2 linked regions of the Rhinolophus ferrumequinum genome follow. Each later gene encodes a partner of the first gene's protein in a complex. Links are inferred from orthologs where the notes say so. Each region holds a gene or a part of one and is shown in the gene's direction. Other genes may lie near its edges.

Region 1 (3,909 bases):
CCACAGTGGCAGTGCTAGGTCCTCTGTCAGCACCTAGAAAAGTCCCTGCCTGTTCCCCTTCCACCACCCTGTCCCCAAGTTCAAAGCTCCATGGTCAATACCTGCCCCATATTCCCATAGCCTTTCCCCTCTCCCTCCTCAGGCCAGTCCCACATGAAGGCATGGAGGGTGGGTTTGGGGGTTCTGAGTCTGGCCATCCTGAGTCACCCTTCTCACAGGGTAAAAAGCAAAACCCAGTGGCGACCTGAGTGATGCAATTGCGTGCTGAGACTCTGCACCGCCTCGGGATATTCCTGCCAAAGCGCACACCCCAATCTAACCATGGGGACACATACACCGGTGTGCACATCTCTGTCCAGCAGCCTCCGTAAGTCAAGGTCAAAAAGACAGAGGGAGAAAGTCTCCCAGATGGAGAAGAAGGAGACAACGTCCTTACGAGGCGTGATCCAGGGCTCGGTCCAAGAACTGGAACCGTGGCTACTGAGGGCGGCGTCAGAGTCGGCCGTCCTGAATCGGATCACTGGATTGCACATGGAAAGGTCGAATTCTTAGGAAACACGTCGGAGCATTTCGAAACTAAGTGGGGGGCGAAGGCGCCCCTTGAGCTAGCAGGTCTCAATCAGCGTGCTTTTGAACGCTGCATTTCCCTCAAAATGCCTGTCTGGTCGTCCGTTTTACTAGAAACTTCAAACAGCGAGCTTGACCATTTCTCCCACTCAACATGTGCTGCGTTACAGTCCCCCAGAAGCTGGGGCGCCCCAGGTGGGCCGGTACGGACGCGAGGCCGGCTCTCGGCACTCCCGGTACACGTGCGTCCACCGCGGGTTTTCCGCCTCACCGGCCCAGGGATGGGGACCCGGAAAATACCAGTGCTTCCGGCTCCGCAACGGCCTATCATGATCGGGGGTGGGCGGGCGCAGGGCATGACGAGACTTGTAGTTGGCGCACGGGCGGGACTACGGCAACCACAACGCTCTGGGCGGTGGCGGCCGAGGCGATGGCATTGGTACGGTCGACCGGCGTGGGACCCGGCCAATCACCGTTTGGGGCGGGCGGGCCCGTGGCACAACGGGCCTTGTAGTCCCGCGGGCGGGACTACCGCACCCATAGTGCCCCGCGCGGCGGGGAGCGCATTGCGGCTGCGCGGCGGCCCAGGCGCCGTCGGGCTGGGCGGTGGCTAAGCGGATGGGATTCCGGCCTGAACCCCGGTGGAAGCGACGCGAGCCGGGCTACGGCCACCATGTCGGCACCGTCCGAGGAGGAGGAGTACGCGCGGCTGGTGATGGAGGCGCAGCCCGAGTGGTTGCGCGCCGAGGTGAAGCGACTGTCGCACGAGCTGGCCGAGACCACGCGCGAGAAGATCCAGGCGGCCGAATATGGTCTGGCGGTGCTCGAGGAGAAGCACCAACTCAAGCTGCAGTTCGAAGAGCTGGAGGTGGACTACGAAGCCATCCGTAGCGAGATGGAGCAGCTCAAGGAGGTGAGGAGCGTGGGCGGCCGCCGCCACGCCCTCTGGCGTCCCCGGCTCGCGCCGCGCCCGGCCCTGACCCCTGATCCGACCCCTCACCCGGGCCTGGCCGACCCTCGAACGGACCCCCGACGCTGGGCTGAGCCGACCACCTAGCCGAGCAGCCCCAGGGAGTCCAGGGTCGGCGTGCACAGCTGGCCTGGAGTCGCTGCGCCCCCTTCGGTTCCGCCCCAGGGAGGGAGACGCGGTCCCCAGGTGTGGTGGCGGCGCGCGTGCAAGAGAACCCGGGCCTTCTCCGGCCAGGTCTGCGGTGGGGTCCTGTCGCCGGTCTGCCTGCTCCTGGTGGCAGGCCTCGAGCACGGTGGGGTGGAGTTCTTTGCGGCGTTTGGCTTCCCGGGTGAGGGGGATGGGGGCGTGAGATGGATGCAGGGAAAAGCCAGGCCTGGTCCTGCATCATCTCCAGGCAGATCACTTCTCTCTGGGCGCAGCAGTCTTCAGTAGTTCCAGTGCGTTCCCCGAGGCCAGAAAAGGGCTGGGAAAGGGGCGTGCCTTGCATGTGGCCGTTATTGCTGCAGGTTGGGGGTCCCCTGTTGTCCCAGGCACAGCTCTCTGACCATACCCACCCCCACTCCCAGTCACTTATCTGGGATGCAGTGCTTTTCCCGCCCACTTCCTGTCCTGGCCGCCCTCCCAGACCCTTCCCTGCAGACTGGTGACAGGTCTGTGGGCATTTGTCACAGAGGGAGCCTTGTGTCTCCTGTGCAGTTTTCACTCCGGGATAAGGGGTGGGACCATCAGGCTGCCTGAGAGCCTAGCAGCAGGACAGCTGGACAGTCCTTCCAAGAAGTAGTTCTCCTTAATGGTTTAAACACCGCTTTTCTCCCAGTCCTTGCTGACTTCTCTAGCCCTGTTGTGGGGGGCGGAGAGGGAGACGTTTCCTTCTAGTGGGACACCCAGGTTTGGACTCAGGCTCTACCCCCTTGCTGGTGACGTGGCTGTGGACAGGGGCCTTAACTTCTCCCTCTGCAGCATTGCCCACCCAAAAGGGTTGTTTTGAGGGGCATATACTTGAAAAGGAGGGGCACGGTGTCAGGTGCGCTGCCTGACAGTGTGCCCCTTGCCCCGCTGACTCTTCCTCGTCCTGGTGGCCTCTTGGCCCTTGGTTCTGGGATGCACCGTGCTAGGTGTTTTCCCCACTGCCCATCTCCTGGCACCAACGCTCCCAGAGGCCTCAGGCAGGTGTCCAGACTGTTCAGAGCCTCCCTGCCCCACTGGGGACACCAGTAGACTCGTCTTTTGAAGTGGGGAGGAGAGAATGAATGAATCCACGCTAACGCTTAAATCCATGCCTGGCCGAGCAGGTGTGCAGGGGAAGCAGCAGTGAAGAGCATGTGCGGGTTGGGGGAGGCAGGTGGCGGCGCATCTGATCCTCGGTCCTGTCACCTGTCAGCAGGTATTGGGGCCTCCTCTGAGCCCGCTTGGCTGGTACTGGATCTAGACAAGAGAGGTGATATGTGGCTCCTCCTGCAAGGGCCCCATCTTGGTGTGTGGGGGGGCGGGGGGCGCTGCACCATGATGGAGGGAGGCCAGGAGACTGTGAGAGTATGGAGTGGGAGCACCTTCAGCCCCATTCTGGTCTCCCTGGGGAGACCCCCCCAATCCTACCTCCCCACAGCACTCATAGCCCCCTTCTGTGTTCACAAGCTCACGTTCGTGTCCGCTCTAAGAACAGACCAGACCTACTGTCCCAGAGGGAAGTAGTTCTCACTAAGGGACCTTTCGGTTGTCAGCTCGTTTCTATTGGACACAAACATTTTGGCCAATGCAAGAATCTTGGCTCTGCTTACTGGGGTGTGTCTAGACGGCGGGTCCCGGAGGAATTGAGAGGCAGGTGTGTCAGTCTCTGCAGGTGTTCTTCAGGCACCTGCTTGCTTAGTTTGTTGTCACCTCCTGGCTCTTGCACACACTGGTATTTGGCCTTGGGCACGTGGCCCTGTGTCCTGAACTTCAGTTTCCCCCCGTTGTGGCAGAAGCCAGAGGAAGGTGCATCAGTCTCAGTGATGTTACTACTGTGTTTCCCCGAAAATAAGACCTAGCCGGACTAGCAGCTTTAATGCGTCTTTCGGAGCAAAATTAATCTAAGACCTGGTCTCTTATTATGTTACATTACATTGTATTATAGTATATTATACTATACTATATTATGTTATATGACACCTGGTCTTATATTAAAATAAGACCAGTTCTTATATTAATTTTTGCTCCAAGAGATGCATTAGAGCTGATGGTCCGGCTAGGTCTTATTTTCGGGGAAACACGGTAGAAAGCTTGCACCAGTTCACTCACACCCATGCCAGCACAAGCTCTGTCAACCTCTTTAGTTTTGGCCAGTGTCATACCTGAAAATATTAACTTGTATTTTAAAAACCAAGATTTAAATA
Region 2 (3,909 bases), on another chromosome or scaffold:
GAGGCCGAGGACCCGGCGGTGCCCAGAGGTGAGAACGAGGCTGGGGGCGGTGCTGCTCCCCGAGATGGGAACAAGGCTGGGGGCCGGGCTCCGAAGTGAGAATGACACTGCGGCGGGGCGGTTCTCTGAGGTGAGAGCTAGGCCACACCCTGAGGCGACAGTGCTGGGGGCGGGGCCACACCCTGAGGTGGCCGTGAGGCCGGGGGCGTGGTCGCGCGGGGGAGCAGCTTGGACCCTTCGAGATGAGCCAGCCGCCTCCACAGGCGGCGCGCGTAACCGCCACAGTCCGAGAGGCTGCGCAGGGGTTAAGGCTGCGGCGCCACCTGGGCGCCGCTGAGGAGACCCACGAGCCGGCGAATCCCGCGCGGGCGCGGCGAACAGGTGCCCGCGCGCGTCAAGCGTCGGCAGGGGCGGGGAGAGGGGGTGCGGCCGGAAGCCCGGGGCGGGGTGCGGCTCGCCGGGTGAGCGGGAGGAGCCAAGGAAGGCAGGAAGGAGTTCGCCGGGCTGCGCGGTGCGCGATGTGGAGTCGCCGCCTCGGCGCCTGCAGCAGCCGCCGCCACCGCCGCTGCTGCTGGGGCTGCCGCCGAGCCGAGGGACATGGAGCGCGGCTGCAGAGAGCGGCCGCCGGCAGCAGCAGCAGCAGCAAGCGTCGCAGCGACAGCGAGGCGCATCCCGCCCCGTGAGGCGCTGCCCGGCCGGCGGCGGCAGCGGCAGCAGCAGCAACAGGGCGGCTGAAAACCCGGCGGCGGCGGCGGCGGCCCTCCCCGCAATCTCCCCTCCCGCTTCGCGGCCCCTCAGTCTTCCCTTCCTGAGCCTTCCCTTTGCCGCCCCCCCTTCTCCCCAGCGCGCGCTGAGCAGCTGAGCCCGGGGGCGGGGGAGGGGGCGCGTGCCGCCGACGCGGGGGAGGGGCGGGCAGGCGCGCGCCGCGCCCAGGGCTCGCGGGGACCCGGGGGACGCGTGCCGCGGCGCGAGGCGCGGGGCGGCGCGGCGGGGCCCCTCCCCCCTGCAGCCTGGCGCGCGCCGGCCGGGCCGCACCGCTGCGGGCTCCGCGCGCGCGGGCCATGTCCGCCTTCTGCCTGGGCTTGGCCGGCCGCACTTCAGCACCCGCCGAGCCGGACAGCGCCTGCTGCATGGAGCTGCCAGCCGCGGCCGCGGACGCAGTCGGGAGTCCCGCCGCCGCCGCCCTTGTCTCCTTCCCCGGGAGTCCCGGGGAGCTGGAACTGGCGTTAGAGGAGGAGCTAGCGCTGCTGGCGGCCGGGGAACGGCCGTCCGACCCCGGGGAGCATCCTTCGGCCGAGCCCGAGTCTCCGGCCGAGGGGGCCGGACTGCAACCGCCGCCTGCCCAGGACAGGGAGCTGCTGTCGGTGATCCGGCAGAAGGAGAAGGATCTGGTGTTGGCCGCCCGGCTGGGCAAGGCGCTGCTCGAGAGGAACCAGGACATGAGCCGGCAGTACGAACAGATGCACAAGGAGCTGACAGACAAACTGGAGGTGAGCACGTCCCTCCTGGGTTGGGTGGGAAGCAGGGGAGCCCGGGCACCCTCCCGGCCGGCCCTGGGCAGCTTCTGGAGCCACTCACTCAACCCATTCCACTCCACCCTTTCCTAGCTCACCCTACCTCACAGAAAACCGCGTGGAAGTGGGCATAGGATGGAGGGTTTCGGATTATCAGACCAGGGCATCCCTTGAATACACCCGACTTTCCCACCCCGCTCACAACAAATGGGCGCATGCACAGGTCCAACCGCTGTGGGCAGTTCTATGTATGTACTGTACACAGCATCTAAAATAGAGCTTACAGTATGACTAATTTATACAGCACTGAGGTGATGTCTCACAGAGAAATGAGAACAGGGAAGCATTTAAAATATGTTCACGTTTTCAGAGTAGTTAATCTCTAATCAGGGTGTTAGCATAAAGCTTTCCAGTTTTGGCGTTAAGGCCTCCAGATGCCCTTGTCTTAACTTCCCGGCGGCTCAGACTTGTGGGAAACAAGTGCCCCTAAAGGAGCTTTATATAGCCTTCAAATACTCAGGGATTAGGAAATGTGGTTCCGTCGCAGTCAGGCAAACCTGTGCTCAACATGTGACCTTTGGTAGTGGATTTAATTTGGACCTCAGTATTTTTATGTGTATTTAACCAGTACCGTTCTGGGTCTCACATATGCAACTGCACAGTTAATGCAACCTAGGAAAACCCTAAAAATAATTACTTCAATTATTGTTATAAATACCCCTTAAAGTGTGTGCAAGATTTCTGCCAAAGTCTTTCAGAGCTATGCCTGTTTGTTTTCTTGCCCTTAACTAGCTAGAAAAGAGTCTTGAAAGTAGTGTGGAACACCACCATTTCTAAAAAATCAAATTTAAAAAGGAGGCAGCATCTGTGGCAGTGGAGACAAGCTTATCTTTTTCTGTCTGTGCATTTACTATTGTTCCCCACTTTGGTTGCAACCACTTTTTTTTTATTAGTTACAAGAGAATAGTACAGTCCTGAATAGGATCTGAAATTGACCCTAGTCTGGTTCCGTATCACTACTACTGTTGAACAGTCAGAATGTAGATTCAGAAACTTTTCTAAAATAAGATTTAAGTGTGTCTGTAGTCCAACAACATATCAAAAGTAAATCAGGGAGAAAAAAGGAAACCAGTGAGTGCCCTGTAGTTCAGTTGGCCTGTTAACTAGGTCTGCCAGTCGATGAACTCCTGAGATACCTCTCTGAAAAGTGGTTTGTGAAACCTATAGGTAGACTGCCAAAAAGCAACCCAATGAATTGGATTGTTTAATTTTCACTTGAAGTAGAGGTCTAGAAATAAAAGGGTGTCTCTTTTTAAAAGAGATTCGATTACATGACTCTATAGAAGTACTACTGCAGAGATTTATACTTGTGATTTGAAATTCCTTCAGTGAGGGACCTGATTGAAGAGACAACAGACTTGAAAGGAACATCATATCAGTCAGTTTGATTAGTGATAGATTTCAGAGTAATCCTGAGTGTGCAATTACACACATCCTGGGTTCCATGTGGAGGGAGCCATTATACATTTCTTTAACAAAGGAAAAATTTCAAAATTCTATAACAAGAAAGGTTCTATTGTAAAAAGAATAATTTACCTATGACTTTTTGTTATTGACTTGATAGACGATAATAAAATAGTTTAAAGCTCTTACATTGTTTTTTAAAAATCTTTACTCCTGTAGGTCAGCATATGACCTCTAGTACTAAAAGTTTAAATATCTGGAGGTTGGTTGCACAACAGTGTGAATGTACTTAACACTACTGAACTGTACACTTAAAAATGGTTAAGATGGTAAATGTTATGCTATGTATACCATAATCCCCCCTTATCCAAGGGGGATACATTCCAAGACCCCCAGTGGACGCCTGAAATGGCAGATAACACTGAACTCTATATATACTGTGTTTTTTTCCTATACATACGTACCTGTGTTAAAGTTTAATTTATAAATTGGGCACAGTAAGAGATTAACAAAAATAATTAATAATAAAAGAATTAAGTTGAGAACTTTCATCTTTCACTTACAGTAAATACTTTACAGCTTCTCTGGCATATCTGAATTGCCAGCATTACTACTCTTGCACTTGGGAGCCACGATTAAGTAAAATAAGGGTGACTTGAACACAAGCACTGCAATACAGCGACAGATGATCTGCTAACCCAGAGGGCTACCAAGTGACTAACTGGCAGGGAGCATAGTATACAGGGTGGATACTCTGGACAAAGGTATGATTCACTTCCCAGGCAGGACAGAGTGGGAGGGTTTGAGAGGTCATCACGCTATTCAGATGGGTGCAAAATTTAAAACTTGTGAATTGTTTATTTCTGGAATTTTCCATTTACTATTTTTGGACCATAGTTGACTGCGAGTAATTGAAACTGTGGAAAGCGAA

The links.
Region 2: BICD2 (region 1) and BICDL1 share a complex: the UniProt entries of both Homo sapiens proteins name them as parts of the tripartite complex. The link is inferred for Rhinolophus ferrumequinum from reciprocal best matches to the Homo sapiens genes BICD2 and BICDL1.

What each region holds. Positions count from the first base shown.
Region 1 is NC_046295.1:742,509-746,417, reverse strand, and holds the start of BICD2 (protein bicaudal D homolog 2), read left to right. Parts: upstream 1-1,006; 5' UTR 1,007-1,240; coding exon 1,241-1,480; intron 1,481-3,909. UniProt on the Homo sapiens protein: Acts as an adapter protein linking the dynein motor complex to various cargos and converts dynein from a non-processive to a highly processive motor in the presence of dynactin.
Region 2 is NC_046308.1:12,849,742-12,853,650, forward strand, and holds the start of BICDL1 (BICD family-like cargo adapter 1), read left to right. Parts: upstream 1-1,018; 5' UTR 1,019-1,061; coding exon 1,062-1,490; intron 1,491-3,909. UniProt on the Homo sapiens protein: Acts as an adapter protein linking the dynein motor complex to various cargos and converts dynein from a non-processive to a highly processive motor in the presence of dynactin.